Linked DNA regions of Arabidopsis thaliana. The protein of the gene in region 1 interacts with the protein of each later gene in a pairwise test. Each region holds a gene or a part of one and is shown on either strand. Other genes may lie near its edges.

The links.
Region 2: the proteins of RCD1 (region 1) and AT1G19835 interact in a two-hybrid assay, tested with the Arabidopsis thaliana proteins (one study listed by BioGRID).
Region 3: the proteins of RCD1 (region 1) and bZIP23 interact in a two-hybrid assay, tested with the Arabidopsis thaliana proteins (one study listed by BioGRID).
Region 4: the proteins of RCD1 (region 1) and DREB2C interact in a two-hybrid assay, tested with the Arabidopsis thaliana proteins (2 studies listed by BioGRID).

Annotation. Positions count from the first base shown.
Region 1 is NC_003070.9:11,610,337-11,616,754, reverse strand, and holds RCD1 (WWE protein-protein interaction domain protein family), read right to left. Parts: upstream 4,638-6,418; 5' UTR 4,387-4,637; intron 4,018-4,386; 5' UTR 3,895-4,017; exon of another isoform or gene 3,443-3,894; 5' UTR 3,329-3,442; coding exon 2,205-3,328; intron 2,097-2,204; coding exon 1,849-2,096; intron 1,524-1,848; coding exon 1,444-1,523; intron 1,354-1,443; coding exon 1,195-1,353; intron 1,112-1,194; coding exon 1,016-1,111; coding exon of another isoform or gene 1,007-1,015; exon of another isoform or gene 924-1,006; coding exon 861-923; 3' UTR 537-860; downstream 1-536. UniProt on the Arabidopsis thaliana protein: Inactive ADP-ribosyltransferase that functions with SRO1 to regulate oxidative stress, hormonal and developmental responses. Required for embryogenesis, vegetative and reproductive development, and abiotic stress responses.
Region 2 is NC_003070.9:6,855,424-6,862,185, forward strand, and holds AT1G19835 (filament-like protein (DUF869)), read right to left. Parts: upstream 5,141-6,762; 5' UTR 4,961-5,140; intron 4,954-4,960; exon of another isoform or gene 4,776-4,953; 5' UTR 4,276-4,775; intron 4,091-4,275; coding exon 4,016-4,090; intron 3,916-4,015; coding exon 3,696-3,915; intron 3,619-3,695; coding exon 1,380-3,618; intron 1,298-1,379; coding exon 1,240-1,297; intron 1,146-1,239; coding exon 789-1,145; 3' UTR 529-788; downstream 1-528.
Region 3 is NC_003071.7:7,277,861-7,282,000, reverse strand, and holds bZIP23 (Basic-leucine zipper (bZIP) transcription factor family protein), read right to left. Parts: upstream 2,571-4,140; 5' UTR 2,334-2,570; intron 2,240-2,333; 5' UTR 2,143-2,239; coding exon 1,422-2,142; intron 1,213-1,421; coding exon 1,184-1,212; 3' UTR 1,054-1,183; exon of another isoform or gene 836-1,053; intron 628-835; exon of another isoform or gene 579-627; 3' UTR 502-578; downstream 1-501. Other genes in the region: MSI2 (Transducin family protein / WD-40 repeat family protein), read left to right, coding at 1-44, 146-386. UniProt on the Arabidopsis thaliana protein: Transcription factor involved in the response to zinc ion deficiency. Binds to the consensus sequence 5'-[AG]TGTCGACA[CT]-3' also called zinc deficiency response element (ZDRE).
Region 4 is NC_003071.7:16,847,889-16,852,493, forward strand, and holds DREB2C (Integrase-type DNA-binding superfamily protein), read right to left. Parts: upstream 2,600-4,605; 5' UTR 2,470-2,599; coding exon of another isoform or gene 2,447-2,469; exon of another isoform or gene 1,966-2,446; 5' UTR 1,963-1,965; coding exon 1,919-1,962; exon of another isoform or gene 1,780-1,918; coding exon 777-1,779; 3' UTR 501-776; downstream 1-500. Other genes in the region: AT2G40350 (Integrase-type DNA-binding superfamily protein), read right to left, coding at 3,707-4,172. UniProt on the Arabidopsis thaliana protein: Transcriptional activator that binds specifically to the DNA sequence 5'-[AG]CCGAC-3'. Binding to the C-repeat/DRE element mediates high salinity- and abscisic acid-inducible transcription.

The DNA.
Region 1 (6,418 bases):
AGTACGAAGTCCAAGTGAAAGATACATGGCTCCAATCCTCTGTAATATGCAAGAGTTAGGCTCATCATCAATTCCTCGGTTTTAAATTCGTTTAAAGCTAAAATGCCGACTCACAACACAAACAAAAAGGAATAAAATAATGCTTCAGATTATAACCATGAAAAGAAAACAGCCAGAACCATTGTACTTTTGGGTGAACCACTCGGATCAGATTCCAAATCGCTGTTATAGAGAAAGAGATCCCAAACTGACCGTTTACTCTACTCCACAGAGACTCCATAAAATCGAACTGATTGGACCTAGAATATCGAGATATCCACTAGCTTCTCATCGTCAGAGGCCAAGCTTACTCAGTGCGCATCATATAGAGCTCTAAAGGGGAGGAGAGGACCAACACTATTTTCTCCTGGTATTCCTCTAGTCTTGATTTACCCGTAGTACACAAGTGTCAAAGGAACCCAGAGGTGACCAGTTATCATACTCTTAAATAATCCTTCACACAAATGTGAGGCATCTAATAAAGCTAACAGAATAATGAGAAAAAGTATAGTGAAGAAAAGTTTCACGCGATAGGCTTAACGACCAAATTTTCGTCAAGATTCAACGACTTCCACAACAATGTTTTGCTTGCAGCTAAAGAAACAAAGACCCAACGACATCATTGACTAAGTAGAATCATATAATATAGTACGATTTTTCACGACAGAAAGAAAAGTCGACACATTTTAAACTCTACCAACGACCCGACCCAAAACCAAAAGTCTAAAATTAGAAAAAGTCAAAAGGAGAACCACAAAGGCAGGTAGATAGATAAAAAGCAGCTTCCTTTTGATATTCGTCATCATCATCATCCACTTTACTTACAATCCACCTGCACCTTCTTCATGGTCTCTGATGCTTCCTGGAATCTCCTTCGACTTTGGCTGAAGTTAAAACCAAAAAACCTTTGTTGAGCATTTCCGTTTACAAAGTAAACTTATGATCAACAACAATATCTCTACTACTACTATCTTACCTGGTTTTGAAGGGTTGTTATGGTGGACCTTAGCAGATCATCTCCTACAATCACCCGCAGTTTCCTGACAAACTCCGCTCTCGTCATCTTCTTATCCTGCACAACAAATTTCTTATGTATTCCAGCTTATGCAATTACCAATCATAAAGCAAACTCTCAGAATCAGTTTTTTTCTATACCCTCAGTTGTTGGTAGTCAGCATTGATCAACAACATGTCGTTCTCTGCAACCTTATGTGAGATTGCTGCAAACAGAGTAGGAAATGGCATCCATGGAGATTTGGGTCTTGTAGTGCTTGAACCAACACTGTTTGCACTTCCTGAACCTCTTGCTCCCTGCTTTTTAAACACAACAACACCACATATAGTTGTTCAGTCCCTCTTCTTTAATAAGATCATACAAAGAAAAACTGAAGTAACCAAACTCACGTTTGACTCCAATTGAGGAGGAAGATCCTTAGGTCCTTCCAAAGTGACCCCTGAGTTATCACGCTTAGCAATCAAATTACCTGCAGAAACCAGTGTATGTCATCGGACTTCTAATACTACACAAAACATAATTTTGATGGATCGAAATACCCATTAAGGCGTGAGTATCACATCCGACCCCCGGATGATGAATCAGAGACTTGTCTCTTGAAACCCAAATGTGTTATAACACCGGAGGTCGTTAGGTTTATCATTATCACACATGGAACTTTTTTTTCTAAATTTATCAGTTGAGACCTGAGCTTCAGCCAGATCTCTAAGCTGTCTCCCTTTCAATGCGTCATCAGTTGATTTGAATGGGGGAAGATAGAATGTGAGGAACAAAAAAAAGAACAAACTAATCACCTTCAGCATTGGGGAGATTAGACAGCTTGAACCTAACAACAAATTCCGGGAATATATGTGTGTTCATATTGATGTTCCAGACAATGTAATTCTTTGGACTCTCAATGTCATCGACTCCATTGTCATATTCTTCTCCACCAGAAAAGAACTGAGCTTTATCACCACGAAGAAGCTCCATATTCCCCATAATCACACGGCATAAAACCATGTAACGTACTCCGTTTTCGTCAACATCACAGTATCTAGCACTGTAAACAAGTTCATAGTTAGTACTTGACACACAAAGAACCTATTGCAGAGGAAGGTAAAATATACGATCTAAACATGAAAAAAACAGATGAATACGAGGCAAATACCTGAAATAAGGGCAGTCTGCAGCGGTTAAATGGATCCCAACACCATAGATGGACTTTCTGATAAATGCTCCACCAACTCCAAGTCCTTGCATCATCACTGCTGATAAAACTTCCCTCTTTGCAGGAAGCCAGGCATACCTAACGTTTGCATCCCCTCGATGTTTCTTAGTGATCTCAACCTGCTTCTGGAAAAGTGCTAGACGAGCTTCAGCAATCTCACTGGAAAAACGGCCCACATCCAGCACTGGTACATGTCCTAGAGAAGCTGTGCCTACAGCAAACATTTTTTTTACTGCATCTTTATCAAGTACTTCGCTTCCCGTAAGCTTGGCACCAGAGACGACTATAGCATCAGTCTCATCCCATTTCGAAACAGCAGCTTCGAGCTTGCGGCTGCAGCTATCCTCCGTAGCCTCGTCATAGTGCTCATTTGAAGATCGTTGAGCAAGGGGAACATCGTCCATCATATTATCACCAGACTCATCACTGCACTCCTCCAAATTTAACCTCGGTGTCTCGCCACCATTAACATCAATCTCTAGGCGAAGTTTGATATCATGAGGAGCATTCTGTTTTGGGTCTTCCACACATTTATGATGGCAGTAATTGGTCCTTTCATCACTCTCATAAATTTCAGGGAAAAAGCACTTTCCTGCATTGTCAATCCATGCAAGAGGGGTTTTTGCTCCTGTTTCCATGTCTAGTCTTTGCATGTGCAAGAAGTCCAAAATAAAACTGTGACCGCATAACTTGAACTCAATTGCGGCGCTCTTTTCTTCTAATTCATTCTGGATGGCGCATATAACGTGCTCAGGCAAATCATTCCATTCGCCATTCTCATACATCATAACACGTTTAGCGATTCCAGTCTTCTTAAAATAAGTGTAATATCTGACCAGCGCCTTCCCAGAGCGATTCTCGTAAGCGCTAAGCTTGTTTTCACCTTCCAGCCTTCTTCTTTTGTCAGGAATTTGGCACTGCCCGTTCGGTGGGGGCACATTTTGCAGCTTTGCACACGAAACTCCAGTAACATATGCAGCATAGCTTGCTGCGCGCTTCCTCTTTTTTCCGAATCCATCTTCACACCTACTACTATCCAACACCTTGACGATCTTGGCTTCCATTTCTATATATTAACAATACTAAACCTATAACCTTGATAGAAAAAGTCAACTGTGTAACCTCTAAACTCCCTAGCAGTCCTAAAGATAGTGTCTTGCCGACAGCATTAGAAAACACTGCACAAAAGAAATGGAAAAGGCTTAAAATATTGAACAACTATATTACAGAGAATAGAGTCAAACAAAAACTCCTCACAGTTTACATGATAAAGAATCAGTAAACAAGAAAGAATCAGCATAACTATATGAGACCTATGATCCTGTAATATCATTCCTTCACAAAAGACATTTGCTACAATTTCCATCAGTAAGTAACATTATGAACAGTCTTTCATTACTTCTTGTTGTATCTTGTGTTATAAAGAGCACAAAGATCCATTACAAAGACGGAAGGTACAAATCAACCTACATAGGAATGAAGCAATAAGAAATGAACATCACACTCAACAAGAACGATCCTATGAGACACTAAAGATAAACACAGAAACAAACCAACAAAAACAAGTAAACCCAATCACCAACACAGAAAAATGAGAACAATAAACCCAAGCCATGAGCTTGAAACTCACCCAACAGTAACAGTTAGAGTCTGATAGATTACAAGTGTGTTCATCTTCTCCGTCATAAAAATAAACACAATCAGAGAAGAAATGCCACGTCTTTTTATAACAGCCGTCAGCAAGATAAAGTTCCTGCAACATCCAAACCAGCAACTTTTTAGCTTTCAATAAAAATTAAAATTCATCTCTCAAGTCAAAATAGCTCTGTTGCTTCACAAAATCCACAAATCGAACCAAATCAATCGCAGTTTCACTGATTTTCAAAATAAACTAAAATCAGAGACGAAAAAACACAGATCGTAAGCATAATCACACGAATCATCCAAAAACTCAATCAAAACAACACAAAACCACTCAAAATCAAACGAATCTAAGCCGATCTACAATCATCGACTTCAACAAAAAAAAACAATTCAAGATAAAAAAAAAAATCCTCAAATCGCATGAGAAGAATTGAAACAAAACGAAAAGAAACTGAACATGAACATGAACATGACGGACCTCTTTTTTCAGATCGATCGCAGGCAACAAGGGTAATCTAAAAGCAAAAGCTGACCAGAAAAAACGGAGGAAAAGGAGAAGATAAGATTTGCTTATAGAGAAAACCCTAAGCCGGCGATGACGACGAAGAAGAAACAGAATCGAAGAGTCATTTATATATAATCGGCGATATTGGAGAGATGATGAAGAAGAAATTCTTAAGTCGGCGGTTCCTGAGTTTTTTTCCTCTTTCTCTAACCAAAAATTTGCTTGGACGAAAAGCAAATCATGTGGGCTTTATTAAAGCTACAAGTCGGTCAGTCAACGTCGAAATCTTATTGGGTGGTGACTTAATTGAAGAGGCGGTCAATACACGCAGATAGATATGGTCGAATACAATAATGGAATAATATTATCATGAGGAGAACAAAAATATTACAATTAAATGTAACGAGGGCAACAATTATAAAATTGTTGAAATTAGAAAAGTGTGTATTGACGGAACATGATTGATAAGATTGTGAATCGATGAATAGACTAGGGGGGCCATTGGAATGGAGATAGCTATCGACATTGAAAAATATTTTCTTTATTGCGTACAAGGTCTAACAAAGTTTTAGTTGTATTGCAAGTGGCAAATAAAATTTTATTAGTTGAGGATAGTTTAGAAGTTTTTGAAAATATTATTTTACAAAGTTATAAGAATATTTAATCAATTTTTAAAAACTTTCTCCAGAAAAATGTTTGTTAACAAAAAATAATTTTCATTATTTCGATAGCCGTTATTTAAATTTGCCGCGATTATTTTTAATGGTTTTTATTTTTTCTGTTTCATTGCCGCGTTTATTTGTAATGATTTTTATTTTTCCGTTTTTCTATAAACAATACTACAATAGCATAAATTTTGAAGTGATATATGGTTTATAAGGGTAAGAATATTTAATCATTTTCAATACAGATAACTTTCAAAATTAGACATACTAAATGAGATATAAAAAATTCCATTGATATACTTCCAATAATTATCACATTTCTAAACTAGCAAAATTTATTTTATTTTAAAACATAGAAGATACGCATAATAGTCAATGAACTATTGACTTGGAAAAGATATCACCTTGGATATTAAGTCTGGACTTTTTGCGTAGTTTTCTTATAAAAAAACTATCAAAATTAAATTTCTACAATTATTCATTGAAAACACAATCTTTGGAAAAGGCTATAATTTGAAAACAATATTTGGAATTGGCTAATTTGAGGATGGATAAATAACATTTCGATTGGCTTAAGAAAGAACACTAGATCGATATCTCTTGGAGAGAGTTAGAACTCTTTTGATGTCTAGACGGATGAAGAATACTTAGTTGATAAATTGTACCTCGCAATTTTTTTCAACTTTGTTTTATAATGGGCCAGTTTTTATTTTTTGGGCTTTAGACAGCATATTAAGATGGACCGGCCGTGACTACGGGTTTAGTTGGTACCGAAAACGGCTGTCTTCCCAATCTTGTAAGATCTATAAAATTCAAGACTAAACTTTTATCATATACACGTTTGTACTATTCGGTGGAAAACCAAAGGATCTATATATACATGCATTCATGGGAATATTATTCTGTGTATGATATGTCACAGCTATATAGTTTGTGTAGCCATGGCTCATATTGAATAATGAAAATGTCACAACTATATAGTTTGTGTAGCCATGGCTCATATTGAATAATGAATATGTCACAACTATATAGTTTTTATATCTCTTATTTTTCTAGAATTTACCAACCTACGATTAGGCCTGTTACGGATCCGGATATCCGGGTTTTTTGGAGTATCCGGATCCGTATCCGTATCCGGCGGATATGTAGTTTTAGGATCCGCATCCGGATCCGTAAACCTCGGATATCCGGATTTCGAATATCCGTGAAAAAACTGGATATCCGCGGATATTCGGGATCCGTTTATTTTTGGGAACAAATTCAATTTCCTATTTCACCAACCAGATTGAATTCACCACCAAAAGAGATCGACGTGTGCCCGACATCAGACTTTGCAAGGC
Region 2 (6,762 bases), 4.8 Mb from region 1:
AAATAGAAAGAAGAATGTCTGACATGTCTAAGTAAATGAATTGTGATATAGGTCAGAATTAGATGTAATAGTGTGTAGGTGTTGAATACGTGAACATGTGATGCCCTATTAAACCAAACAGTAGCTAAACTGTCAAAACATTGATTATCAGTAAATGATCGCTAATTGCTTTAAAAGGTATATTCCCACAATGAGGATCGTTGCACTAACCCCAATTAATCGATCGGAGTGTTCATCACTGAGACATTCTTTCTTGATTTCTTTTGTTTTTGCCGGCCTTCAAACAAGCATTTCGTATGAAATTACTAGAAAAATGTTGGCGTTATTCTCAACCCACGGGATGTGATTTCACAAGAAATTCTATATACACCTTCAAACAAGTAGCATATGAGACGGTGTAAGTGGGCTGGGCTAAGCCCAAAGTTGAGATTTCATTAAACCTTGAAACCTGATTGGCTTTGTTTACAGAACACAGAACTTGTAGTTTCAGTTTTTAAAGATAGGGGAAAAGATATTAAATTGAGATGTTTTTAAGAAACCTTAGATTAAAAAATAACGCACACCAATGAGAAAACGAGATTTGGTAGCTTGACATTTACACGCCGCGGAATTCAACACCAAATTGTTGTCAGTACAGAAATAAAGAAAGAAAGTAAGAAAAAACCTAAGTTAAAATAACATTCCCACATAGTAAAAAATTAAAAACAAAACCCATATAATATAGTAGCAATAGATACGATATACAACATAGTTAGATTTATACTTTTTTTAATTCTTTTTATTTATTTTTACTTTGCTTTAGTGGAGAAGAACCTGCTGAATCCTCTAGAGTGTTTCTCAGGAGTAAGTCCTGATGAGGACGATGACGAGTTCGACTTCGTGTGTCTATGTTTCGACGCGACCGGAGATTTCATTGTATTCATCGATGGTGTATCCTTGTCTGAAGGCGAACTCAATTTGCTGTCTTGAGGATTTGTGGAAGTTGCGTATTCCTCTTCTTCAGGGTTTAGGGCTTGTTGTTCTTGGCTTGGAGAAGAAGCAACCTGTTCTGTTTGAGGACACATGGATTTGAGTTGCTTCCCGAGAAGTAATATAGTCTCTTGACACTCTGCTAGCTTCTCTGCAGCAGCCGCTAGTTCATTGTCCTGTGTAAAAACATTCAATGTCATGAATTATAAATTTAAAAAACCGAAATCTCTGTTAGGTAAGGTAATAAATTGGTATCTTTGGAAAATTTACCTGTTTGCTTTTAGGATCATCTTCGATTACTGAACAATTCGGGCAGTTTTGGTTGTTCCTGATGTTTTGTAGAAAAGTGAAGTTAGAGATTTTTAGAGACTCTACATTGAAAAAGAGAGTAATGATTAGTTTGCTGTTACCTTTGTAATTGCTCCTCGAGTTCTTGGCATTTGGCTAAAGCTTCTCGATGATTTTCCTTCTCGTCGTGAAGCTCATCTTCTAAGTTTTCGATCTTGCCTTTAAGAGAAGTCAACTCGATTTCCAGCTCCGATGATCTAGTTTCAAGAGATCTATATGATTCCACCATGCATTTGAGTTGAGTCTCGCCCATGCCATTAGACTTCTGAGCAGATTCCAAGTCTGATTTGACTTCAGCAAGAAGTTTCTCTGTTTCTTGTAGTTTGGTCTTAGTTGCTTCAAGATCTGCTTCACAGCTTGCAAGGTTGCTCTCTGCTTTTTCTTTCTCGAGTTTCAAACCTTCAAACTCCTCTGTTGTAAATTTACAAGTTGCAAGCTTTGGTTCATAGCCAGATGTTCCGTTGCAATCATCCGGAATCTCAGAATCTGAGCTCTGAGAACAACCATTCTGGTAATGTTCACCTGATGAATCTTTCTGAAGTGCTTTGTTTTCCGGTAGAGCGACTTTATCAATGCAATCCGGGCTGTGAATCTCTACTGTGGATGTGTGGAACCCTAGCACATCGATCTTTAGCTCACTAGCTTCGACTAAAACTCGCGAAAGATCAAACAGAAAATCGACCAATGTCTTTTCCTTGCCCAAGACTCCCTCGAATGTGGTAGAGAATTCTTGAACTTTTTGGGAGAAAGTTCTGTTCTCAGAACACGCCGTTGCTTCCTTTGAAAGATAGGTAACAAACTGGTATATCTGAGAAAGAGCATCAGACAATTCTTGTGTTATTACCTCGACAATGGTAACTTTTTCCTCTGTAGTCTCATTTGACATGGCTATCACCTTTTCTTCTGTAAGACCGTTCAAATTAGCTCCATGACTCTTAGAAGGCAGCTTAACACCTGCATCTTTAACTGCACATTGTATCTCTGCCAAAATCTTCTCAAATGCAGCATCTTTAGGGAGAGACTGAAGCACATTGGAGATTCTTTTCTTCAGTTGAGTCGCTGGTGGAATCTCAGCATCGGAATCAGCACTTGAGTGATCCGTCGAACCATTTGCGTTTGAGCCATTTGGTAGACAAGCTAGCTTTTCCATTTCAAGAAAATCATCCATCAGCTCCAACTGGTTAGCACTCTCGGTCTTCTTGATCTTCGCGTTGGCTTTATCCTTGTTAGATTGAGAGAGTTCAGACATCAAAGAGCCAGCAACGCTTCTAGCATCTTCGTTTCCATCCTCAGACATTGAAGCCATACTAGGAGGATTACTAGCATTTTGACGAGAAAAGATTTCAGCTGGCATTTCAAAACCTCTCTTGGTTGGACTTTTACTCATCATTTGAGCTTCCAAGGTTTGTAGCCTATTAGCTGTCTTAGCACAGAGATTTCTCGACACTTGAAGCTCGCTGTTACGCTTAGCCAAAGCTTCTTTAAGCATCTTTGTTTCTTCTTCCATAGCAAGTAGCCTCTCAGTAAGCAAATCGTTTTCTTTATGGAACTTTTGCATATTGTCAAGTGAGAACTCAGAAACCTGAGACATGTGTGACATTGGAGACATAAGAGGACTAGATGGTCTAACCGGTGACCTTCTTTGTCGATGATCTTGACGATGATCTCCAAATCCTAAACTCTCAACCTCCATTTTCATCTGTGCAAGTGCTGCAGGACCAGGAAGTTTCTTTCTCACAAGAGTTCGTAATCTTTGACACTCAGCTTCCAACTTTGCAATCTTCTTGACACCTTCCAAATGCTGCTTATTCGCCGCTTCCGCAGATCTCATACTCATATTCTTTTCCTCGTTACGGATCTCCAACTCTTTGGTAATCACATGAGTTTCATACTTGAGAGTATTTATCTCCCTTTCACAAGACTCTATATTGTTCTTAAGATGCTCAATCTCAGACTCTGCTTGAGACTTCTCCTCACTTATCCTCATTAGCATGTTAGACCTCTCTTGCAACGATCTCGAAAGCGCGTCATTCTCAGCACCACACCGAAGCAGTTCTTCCTCGTATTCCCCAATCCTAGACTCAAACTCAGCTCTAAGATTGTCCATTTGGTTGGTTTTAGTAGCGATAACATCATGCAGCTTCTGTTCATTCTCTTCCTTTAAACTCCTTATTTGTCTCATACACTCCTTTAACGCTCCATCTAAATGCGCTGCTCGATCTTCGACAGTGAGCTTTGCGAGAGTAATGGTTTCGAGATGTGTTTTCAAAGCTGATGCTTCTGCTTCAGCTTTTTCCCAACCTGAATCAAAACCAAACATAAATCAAAAACATGTGACTCAAAAGAAAAAACACAGAAATGCATGCAAATTTTATTACCTGTGACAGCTTCTTCAGCAACTTTGGAGTGTTGTTTGACTAAAACCTCCTTTGCTACAATATCTGCATTAGCTGTTGATAGCTTCAAATCCAAATCTTTGATCTGATCCTCAAGCTTTGTAACTTTTTCTTCGTAGCTCTTGACTTCATCTTTTAAACCATTTAGATTCGTGTATTGATCAAATGAGATCTGGATATAACTCGGCTTCTTCCCATTTTCCTGTTTTTTTTTTTTTGTGAAGGAATCAAAACATAAATCTTAGAATTAAATGAAACAAATCTGAGAAATTTAAAGAGTGATTGATTAGTGATCAAAGTACCTGATCAACAACTTCTGTGACAGTAGCTGTTTTCTCAGAGGATTTCTTCTTCCATGGCCAACTCTTACGATCCATCTTCATAATCAACAAACAATTCAACATTTTCAGAAAACAAAAACATAAAAATTAAACCAAATATATACAATTTTGGGATTTCGGAAAAATAATTAAGAACTTTCCGAAACGAAGTGGTGAAGTCAAATCAGAAAGCAAATGCCAGAAAGTAAAAAATAATCAGAGATGCAGAGGCAAAAGACTACCGACGATCGCAATCGACTAGAAAATTTCTGATTTCGATGAACTGTGAACACTTGTAAATGAAAAGAAGAGAGGAATCAAACTAGTAAAGGAATACCTCCAAAAATCAAGTAAAATGGAGACAAAAGCCATTACTAGAATCAGTAACTTCAGGATATAAAGCCAAACAAATGGCAGACGAAGAAAAAAATACCTCGAAAACCAAATCACCGACGCTTTTTTCTCAACAGTCAAATCACAAAACCAAAAGTCACCGACGCCGATTCCTCTTTTTTTTTTTTTTTTGTAAATGAACTAATAACAGAGCATGATATATACAGTTCTCCGATTTCGAAGCATAATTCCGAAGAAATGTAGAATCGAAAGGAGGAGAGTATATATGGAGAGAGAAAAAAACTCACCGGAAAAATCCAAAATGCAGCAGTGAAACAGAATCTTCCCGAAAGCAAGAGAGCTTAGTGGAACAGATTTGAAAACAGAGAGAATCAAAAACTCTCTGTTTCTAGATACAGAGAAAGAGAGAGAAGAAGAAGAAGAAGAAGAAGAGTGGTGGGTTATGGTGTGATAGTGGCGGTGATGGTGATGTTGATGGTGAAAATAATCTATCTATCTATCTAATGCCTTCTGTATCACTTCAAAGCCTAAAACGTAGCAGAGGCTCTCCTTTAAACTAATCGTTACCTTCACTTTCTCTTCTTTTTTTTTTTTTTTTATTCTCCTTCTATTTATTTACCCTCCTTAATAATCTTTTAATAATTCAATTTAGTTGAATTCTATATAGTATTATTTAGATATTTGGCCTGTTGATTAATAGTAATAATTCTGGTTTTAAGTCGGAAACAAATAAAAATACTAAATCCGTATACACAGTAGCCCTATTTTTGTTAAAGGGAATGAATAGATAGGCTTTTTCCTAAAATTTCTTATCACGATGATAGCCAAACAATGACATGTATCACATGTGCTTCCTTTTTATACAATCCCTATTAATAGAAGACCTGAACAAAATAAACCTAAGCCATTGACGTTTTCGAGACTTTCAATCTTTGATTTCTGAAAAGCGTTTATTGTATTTACCGTTGCATGCGATACTTAAATAAACAGTATTATACTTAGACGTATTTGTTACTGAACATTTTGTAATTGTAAGAGAAATAAATTTAGCTTACCTCATACAAACATTGTATATGTGATCATTTTGAAAAGAAAAAAAAACGTTTTTGACTGTTTTATGATTATCTTTTCTGTTTTTACATCGTGATCATACTGTTTACTCCACTACAACTATATGAAGCATGGAATAGTATTTAATAAAATCTTCCTTTTATATAAATTAAAATAAATGGGACAGATTGTATTTAGTACAGAAGGTTTATGTTGATGATAATGCACTTCATTAAACTGAGATTTTGCTGGAAGATAATATACATAAATTAAATGTTCATTAAATGTGTTCTCCTAACAAATAATTCTTCGCGTTTTTTTTTGTTTATATCAAGAAATTTGACTGGTTTTCTTTTAATTACTTTGACTGATGAATGATGATTAGTATTACATCGAGAATGATTAGGATGAAACCTGAGTGTTTTAATACTGTAGTAAGTAAATTTCGAAATAATATGTAGAAAAATGATTATGGTAAGTGACTAAATGGACTAAATATGGGAAACGGAGCAACCGACGATATTAATTTGAAGCGTTTGTTTTCCACTCGTTTAATTAAACCTTATCTCAAACTTAACGGAAATTAAAAAGGACGATCATTTCTTGTTTTTGTTACCTCCCAAAAATAGATAATAAATACAAATCTGAGTTTTGGTCATATGCTACGAACAACCAAAAATGCATGAAAATGTTTACATAATTATTAAATTCATTCAGCCGATGGTCCTAACTTCTTACAATTGCATTCATATAGTTTTAGAGACAAGCCAGCGAACAAAAGTTTGTACACTACAGTCTGTAAATAGCAATTCCACGGACCAAAAGTAAAGAGAAAAAAAAAACTATATGACTTTTCAATTTTAATTAAAATTTAGGAAAAAAATTGAGAACCCAAAACTGATATAACGACTTATTTTCATTATAAAAATCAGATATTGTTTTTCCTATATAGCGACTTATTTTCAATTATAAAAGCAGACATTATTTCTCGTTTTAAAGAACGAGACGTGAAGAGTAAAGTCTAAACGAATATGATTATTGAGGTCATTTTCTTAATTAAAATATGATCAAATAGCTTCGACTTTACATAATAATCATAAATATTTGCATTAGGTATATCATCTAATATGTCTACTGTCTACCTACACATTTTATCCACTTTTTTAATTAGATTAAACAACTTGTGATTTAATTGAAATAATGGTGCTCACCACCCAAATTAAATTCAGGAAATATTTTATAATTAAAACATAAATTGTTTCAATCAGTTTTTGATTGTTTTATCTCGAAATTTTTGTGAATATAATTCAGCTTTTAGAATTAAT
Region 3 (4,140 bases), on another chromosome or scaffold:
TCTTCAGGGGAGGACAGAAGGCTGATGGTCTGGGACCTGAACAGGTATGTATCATCATCATCTACTTTGCAGAATTCAAAAACTTCAACTTTTAAATCTGAAGATTGTTCAACGTTGAGTAATGCTTCTTTTTTGGGGTTTACAGGGTTGGAGAAGAGCAGCTTGAGATAGAGTTGGATGCAGAAGATGGTCCACCAGAGTTACTCTTCTCTCACGGAGGCCACAAGGCTAAGATATCAGACTTTGCTTGGAACAAAAACGAGCCTTGGGTCATTGCAAGTGTAGCTGAAGACAACAGTCTTCAGGTGTGGCAGATGGCAGAAAGCATCTATCGCGATGAAGAGGATGCCGAGGACATCAAAGAAGATATTACACAACAATCATGAAAATTAAGAAACGATTTGGTCTCTCCATTACTTAAAGTGTCTTATCTTGCTTTAGCCAGTTTCTGAAAGACAAGCTTTGCGTCTGTATTAGGATTAACATGAATCATCTCTGTTTGTTAATGTAACCATGTTGGATTTTGTTGGTTTCCTATCATTCCTGTGTCACAAAATTCGACTCTAGAACTCCAAAGCCTGACAAAAGATTCATTGAATAAGGAATTTGGGATAGCATCATTGGCAGTAATTAGTAGTCATCCAGTCAAACTGAGCGTGCAACATATTCTATGTAGACACGATCGTGCAACAATATTCAGGAATCGTTCGTGTCTTGGTTCTTTTTAGCATAGTACTACTCCCCAAGACTCCATAGAGCATCAAGGAAAATATCATACCAAATCGAGAATTGATGCATCGTATAAGTGATTTCAGAAGCACAAGACTGTACCAGACTAACGAAAAGTCGAAAACAACCAAGTTACTAATTGTCGAGATGGCTTCCCATAACTTACTTTTCCAAATGCAACATTCAATCTCTTCTACAAGAACTTCACAACAAAAAAAGAAGCTACTAAAGTACAAAACCAAATAGCAAACTCGATTTGAATATTAACAAGTCTTATTTCTAGCTTCAACGAGCTCAACAAGGAAATGCAAAGAGACTAAAAACCTGATGATAGCACAAATGGACTTGAAGGAAGCTGGTGATGCAGTTGAACTCTACTACTTATTGGAAGAAAATTAACTACCAACTTGAAAATGGGGTGAATGATTGATAGTATCACATGATTGATGATACTTCAAACTGCTTTCGCTGCTCGAGGCTCACCTGTTGCAAGATCAAAAACCTTGAGTTCATAAACAAAATATACACAAACCACAAGTTTAAACAAAAAACGTTCAAGGGAACCTCAGAAATGACACAATTCCAGGATAAGTACAGTGACAATATGGAAGTAACTACGATGAAAACTGTATAAAGATATAGCTATTAAGGACAGCCTCTAGGAAAGAGATCCAAAGGAACTAGAATGTCACCTTTTCTCTTATTAACGCCGGATCCATTGACAGTGAATGTTCCAATTCCATTACTACAAACAGGGATCTCCTTGCCAGCTAAATTCTGATTAGCCAAGCATTCTAGCTGATCAAACTCACAACCATTTAGCCCTTGCTCATTCATCGATGCACCTTCTCCATTATTCCCATTTTGAAGGCAGTACAAGTTATCAACATCACATTGCATATTGCAAGGATGCATCATGTATGAGTAAGGCACGTTTGTAACCGCAGGTTTCTGATAAGGAAACGCACCAATCTCTCCATCAATTCTTCCTCTTATATCAACAAGCAAACACTTGAGCCTAGTAACCTCAGCTTCCAATGCAGCTTGACCTTGCAACCTCTTCAACAGCTGATTATTAACCGCCTTAAGCCTCATAACCTCATCCTCCAACGAAGCCGCTTTAGCCTTCTTCTTCTCCCTATACTTTCTAACCGCTTCTCTATTCCCTAAAGGTCTCTTCTTCCCTGAAGATTCCGATGTATCATCAGTAGAAACTTTGTCAGGAAGAATCTTGGTGTGCACATGGAGACATGTGTGAGTATGTGTGTTCTCTGGTCCCGGAGGATTACAAGTGTGAGTATGAGTACAAGCATGAGAATCTCTCAAAAGCTCATCGAAGAACGAATCCATCGAACAGCTAGGTAATTCACCACCCATGTTTGAATTCGAAAACTCAAGCTCACCGTCGTCCATTACTCAAAACCCAGTAACAAAGAAGTAACCTTTGACTCTTTTGATTGAATCTTAACCAAAAAGTATGAGACTTTGTGATCAAAAACCAAACAACAACCTAATTGCAGAGTGAAAACACAATCCAAGCGATTCAGAACCAATTATCAATAACTAATCATTGGCTGATACTAAATTGAATAGAAAAATCGTACCTTTAAAGGATCAGCAAGACGAAAGCTTGAGGAGAATCGCCATTACGATTGCGAATTTGGGAATTGAGAAACTTATGGGCGAAAACGGCGAGAAGGGTTTAAGAGAGAATTAGAAATGGGAACCCTAGAGATGAAGAGGTGCAATGAACATTGATGATTAACAGATGGCATTATTTCCATGGCGGAAAGAAGACATGGACGTACCAAAAGGAATTTCGAATTGCAGAAGATTCTATTGTTTAATTTCGTATTAAAACTTTTATTTGAGTTTATAGCTCAATTTATAACTCGAATTATATTTTTAAATTTAGTTTTTTTCAACCAAAGTAATTTGCGTTGCTATTTTTTATACCCATTGAAAAATTTCTTTGAATCAATATTCTAACTGAATAATTTTTTTTTCTTTTTTTTTTTGAAGACGCTGAATATTTTTTTTATATAATCAGTTAGATAAAATCATCAAAACATTGTATTTAAAATTAAAATGTATATTAATTTTTTAACCTATAACTTTATTTTTAACTTAATTTTCAATGAAAAATGGTGAATGAAAAAAAAAAGGATGATAAAAAAATGATAGACTAACAAGAGGACAAAATTATGAGGTTGAAATCATTTCAATAGACATGTTTTTATTTTATATTTATTTGTTTTGATTTAAATTGGCCTAAAAAGTTATATAATATCTAATTGTTTGCTCTTAAACTAAATTTTACAAGGATTAATTTCTACTTTATAATGGGGTCAATTTAAAATAATTAATCAAAATTGAACTAGTTTTAAAAATTCCATGGACAAGATAACATCTTGCTGGTAAAAAGGGCCAAAAAAAATCTAATCATAGTCATGGGAAAGAAGAAAGAAGAGAAGAAATGGGAAAGAAGAAAGGAGAGAAGAAATTGGAAAGAGAAGTACAAGAAGAACTAGGACGAGAACCAAAACAGATCAATTATATGGTGAGTTCCGATTATTTATGTATCTTTTTAATTTTTGAGATGAAGAATCCTATATTTATGCAAAAACAGTGTTGGCCTTCAAATTATCTATTGATTGTCAGAACATCCTTCGAGATATAACCAAAAATAAATCAATAAAATAGCTCGAATCCACCCAAAATTGGAATTGAAATTCTCTTTGGTTCCTCAAAATTTGCACAAAATACATCAACAAAGAAGATTCCTCAATATTAGTCAAACATAGGACTAACCTTTCAATATCAAAATAGAAAGAAAAAACTATCAAGTAGAGATTATGGCCGATTTTTGTGGATTGTCACTAAAAATAAATCAACGGATAAGACATGAGGGGACATATTAATTACGATCAATTAAATAACTATTTTAGAAATATTTTTTAAACAATATGTTTGTTTTGCAGATTCCGTGATACAATTTCTTTGTTTTTTTGCCAAAAAATCATAGAAAATATTATACTTTTTCAGTATAAAGTAAAATATATATTTTTACGGGAAGAAGACTCTCTCTAAGGTTTCAAAAAATTTAAGGTATTAATTTTAACTTTAGATTTTGATTCTTTTTTACTTCCTCTAAAAAAATTCTATAGATTCAACCTGTACATCACGGATCTAAATATTATTTGGTTTTTATATTATATATTTTGTTCAAAATGTATAACAACTATTTTGCGCAAATCTAGTATTATTTATTCAATTAAATGCGTCTTGCCATAGTGGTCGTATAATTCGCTCTCTTTAATCCCGCGCATGGTTCGAGACGAAGTTACTACCACTACTTTTTTTTCTCATTTTAATTAGATGGAACCGGTTTAGCTTTCACCGGTCTAGTCA
Region 4 (4,605 bases), on another chromosome or scaffold:
ATTGTCAAAGGGAACTTGTGGAGGTGCAATACCCACCAATTCATTGGATTTAATTAATTAACAGTTTGCCAACTTGATTTCTTCATTTTTCTAAAGGCTTAGAAGATCTTCAAGATTCGAGCAAGAAAAACGATTTTGGAGACCAGAATGGAATAGTTAAAGCCTTTTAAATAATATACAACTATGTCCCATTTGCACTTTCAAATACCCAATTTGCCTTTTGTAGAAAATACAGATAGATAACTCTCTAATGATAACTTTATTATTCATACCTCATTGCTTATGTAATCTCAGACAACCTGAGGAAAGTCTGCAGACCAAAAAACTCCACTACTGGATATTTCCATTAAACTAAGCCAAGTTTCTTGAATAATCAAAACTTGCCAAGTCAATAAAACCACTACGCAACATCGCATTATTCCATCTCCATTCTTAAGGATGAAAATTAGATGTGAGAGTATCCAAAGTTCAAAGATCAAAACTTTATAGCTTATATGCATCCGAAGTTCAAAACTTTGATATGTACCGAATGTTATAAACTTTTTCTAAACCCAACGTTTGAACTTCTTCATATGTCATATGTATTCACAAGAAAAAGAAAGAAGGAATCATATTTGAACTTGTCCTACATTACCTAACTACATGTACTACGTCTCACAACCATTAATATCAGAAAGTATCAGTAGCTTCAAAGAAGGGCAGCTTCTAGCTAGTAACAGCTACACCGTCTCGGAGCAGAATCACAAACTTAGGCCAGTCAAACGAAATTTGAAATCTTATGTAGATCCATGAACATCTTTGTCTCCTCCAAAATCCAAGTCCTGTATGTCAAGATCATTGAACCTGCGATGGTCTAAATCAATACCATAGTTCTCCATATCACTGGGCTGCACATAAGGACATCCATAATCAACTCCTGGTTGAGCAATCTCCATAGGGTTGAGGCTCCCGAGCAAGTTAGAATTTGGAAACTGCGTTTGGTAACTGAAATTTGGGTGTCTATCCACTTGATACTGCATTGTCTCTTGACCAGACACATTGTTGTCGTTTAATATACCCAATAGCTCATTAATATCAAACGTTTCATCCACACCAAACTCCAATGGTTCTTGTTCATTGCCATTTCCCATCAACCAAGCATCCAAAGTCTCCCTTTTCGAGTCCTGTCCAATTCCAAAACCAACAGCCAAGTTATGTTCTTCCCTCACTTCCTCTTTTCCTTTCAGCTCCTCTTTAATACACTGAGAACTATCTAAGAGAACATATTCATCGCTACAATCCTCTAGTTTCACCTGACCAAAACCTGAACTTGCATTTGTATCCTCACGTGCACAAACTTCAGATTCATCAGAAAATGCAGTAACCGAGCCTGACACAGTGGCAGTGGCAGCAGTCGAAGAAGAGCGATTTGTGATCTCGGGAAGATTGAGTCTGGCAGACTGACCATATATAGCTTTGGCCGCCTCGTCATAAGCCAATGCAGCTTCATATGAACTGGAGAAAGTACCGAGCCACAACCTAGCACCTCCGTCTGGCTCACGGATCTCAGCAACCCATTTACCCCATCTCCTCTGTCTAACTCCTCTATAGTCACAAATCCCGTTTTCAGGTCCACCTTTACCTTTCATACAACCCTTCCTCGAACCTTTTGGAGGAGGCTTTCGGATTGATTTTGGACCACCACCATCGATACAAGATTCTGCCTCAATCTGCTCATTGTACTCTCTCCATTGCCTTAGAATCTCAGCTACATCTCGTGTTCCACGAGACTTCCTTTTCCTGGTAGAATCAAAGGGGATAGAAGCAAGATTAGCAACATGCTCGAGAACTCCAATTTTCTCTCTTCACAAAATTTCAAGCAACAGGTTCAACTATACTTCGGATCAAAGCACCTTTCAAAGAAACAATTTTTAACCACCTGAACGTAATTACACCGAAGTAGCTACAAGAAGAAGTTTTCATAATCTGCAGCATCACAGCGAGCAAGAAAGAAACTCCATCACGAACAGATTAAGAAACTAGAACAGAGCAAACTCAGAAACAGAGAATCACCTAAAGATTCAACATAGAATCCATAATCTAACTTCTGTATCAGGAAAGGTACCACCTTTAACGATTATTTTAGCTAAAAATCCTCTAATTTCCAAGTCTCTTAACCACACACGAACTAGAATCCACAAATCGCACAGAACTCAATCCAAAAGAGACAAATTGTGCCCCAAATTAACAAATTTCAGTCAACAAAAAACCCCAAAAACCCTAAAATTGAAAAACCTTTCAGCTTCCACCTATTACACAAACAAAGGAACTTGGAGGATATACACACAAAACAACAAAAATCGATAAAAAGAAAATCTTAAACCCTAACAATGAACAATCACATTTAGCAAACATACAGAAGAGAGGAAAAAAAACGGAGAAAAATCGAAAAATGTAACAAACAAACCTGTCAACAATCTCCGACGGCATGTAAGAAAGCACTCGAACAAAGTAGCAGCTGAAGAAGAAGAACACAAAGGATTCAATGTAATAATAGTAGTAGTAGTAGTAGCAAAGACGATAGCTTTTGTTTTCTCGTTAGCAGAGAAGAGAAAGGTTTGGGATTGTGAAAGGAGAAGCCTTTATATATAGACAAGTCTTAATTAGATATTTCAGATATTTAGGTGATGACGTGGCGTTCGAACTTACCAGATTCTGATTTGCGGCTGGATCCAGAGTCCTTTCCTTTTTGCTTTGGGCCTAAGTTATTTCTGATTATGCTTTTTGACTATTTTACCCTCAAAGCTTCTTTGTAATTTCCGCTTATGATCCCTTTTACTATAGCTGAATACGTCATTTACTCATTTTCGTTGACTAGTCAAAAATCAAGTCTTCTTCCACACGAAGCTATGGGCTAAGTATGGATTATTGTTTTATATTTTTTGTAAACTTTATTATTGATATGAATAAATTTAGAGAAAAATATTAATGTTTTATATGTGTTTTGGTTTCGTGGATTACCCTTAAGAGCCTATTATGCTTCTTTTCGCGAGTATATAACACATTGTGTTAGACAAGTTCAAATTGTGAATGAGACTATGAGTGAATTTGTCGTTAAATAAAGGAGACCAGCCTTCGTGGAGAATTTCTATTTTTCCTACGAAGTGACAATCCATTTTCTCTTTGTCTAGTCAAGGATCCATCATTCATTGTAATATGAACGTTAAGAAACTGTCACATACATATGGAATCAAATCCATATTTGGATTTAAGCCGACTAGTAACGCCCCAACTTAACCAATGCAGTTATTGGACTTAACATTTTGGAAATGCGAGAAGTTAGAGATCTCAACAAATAAAGGCGATCATTACAAAACTTAAACCTAGAAAGAGGATAATTTTGGAGTGATGGTGACGTAGAGGATGATCGCCAGTTTCTTATCATTTCAAATGCTTGATAGAATACATCTCCTCATAGATTGAGAGATAGAGAATATAATATTTTGTAGTGGTGGTGATGAGGAGGAGGAGGATTGAGTGTTATGAGAGTTTCAGACCACTCTTGGTGACAATCTAAAGATCTTCCTTTGTTTACTTTCTTGCATTTCAATAAAGCTCCATATGAGCTATCTCATTTTCAATCTACAACTTAAGACCTCACAATAGTCAACTACGATTAACAATACACTAGAACTATCTAGGAGAACATATTCATCAATACAATCCTCTAGTCTGACCTGACCAAAACCAGATCTTGCATTTGTATCCTCACGTGCACAAACTTCAGATTCATCAGAAAATGCAGTAACCGAGCCTGACACAGTGGCAGCAGTGGAAGATTGAGTCGGGCAGACTGACCGTAAATAGCTTTGGAAGCCTCATCATAAGCCAATGCAGCTTCATATGAACTAGAGAAAGTACCGAGCCATAACTTAGCACCTCGGCCTGGCTCACGGATCTCAGCAACCCATTTACCCCATGTCCTCTGTCTAACTCCTGTATAGTCACAAATCCCATTTTCAGGTCCACCTTTACCTTTCATACAACCCTTCCTCGAACGTTTTGGAGGAGCCTTTCGGATTGGTTTTGAACCACCACCATCGATGCAAGAATCTGCCTCGGTCTGCTCATTGTACTCTCTCCATTTCCTTAGAATCTCAGCTACATCTCGTGTTCCACGAGACTTCCGTTTCCTGGGCATAGAAGCAAGATTAGCAACATGCTCGTGAACTATTGGGCACAGAAGCAAGTCCCATTTTTTCTCTTAACAAGATTTAAAGCAACATGTTCAACTATACTTGGGATCAAAGCACCTTCAAAGAAACAATTTTTAAGCATCACAGAATCTACCAACACCGAAGTAGCTACAAGAATTTTTCACAATCTGCAGCATCACAGCGAATAAAAAGAAACCCCATCACGACCACAATTAGAACAGAGCAAACTCAGGAAAGGTACCACATTTAACGTTTATTCCAGCTAAAGATCCTCTAATTTCCAAGTCTCTTAACCCCACACGAACTCGAAGCCACAAATCGCACAGAACGTAATCCAAAAGAGACAAATTGTGCCCAAAATTAACAAATTTCTGTCTACGAAAAACCCCAAAAACCCTAAAGTGAAAAC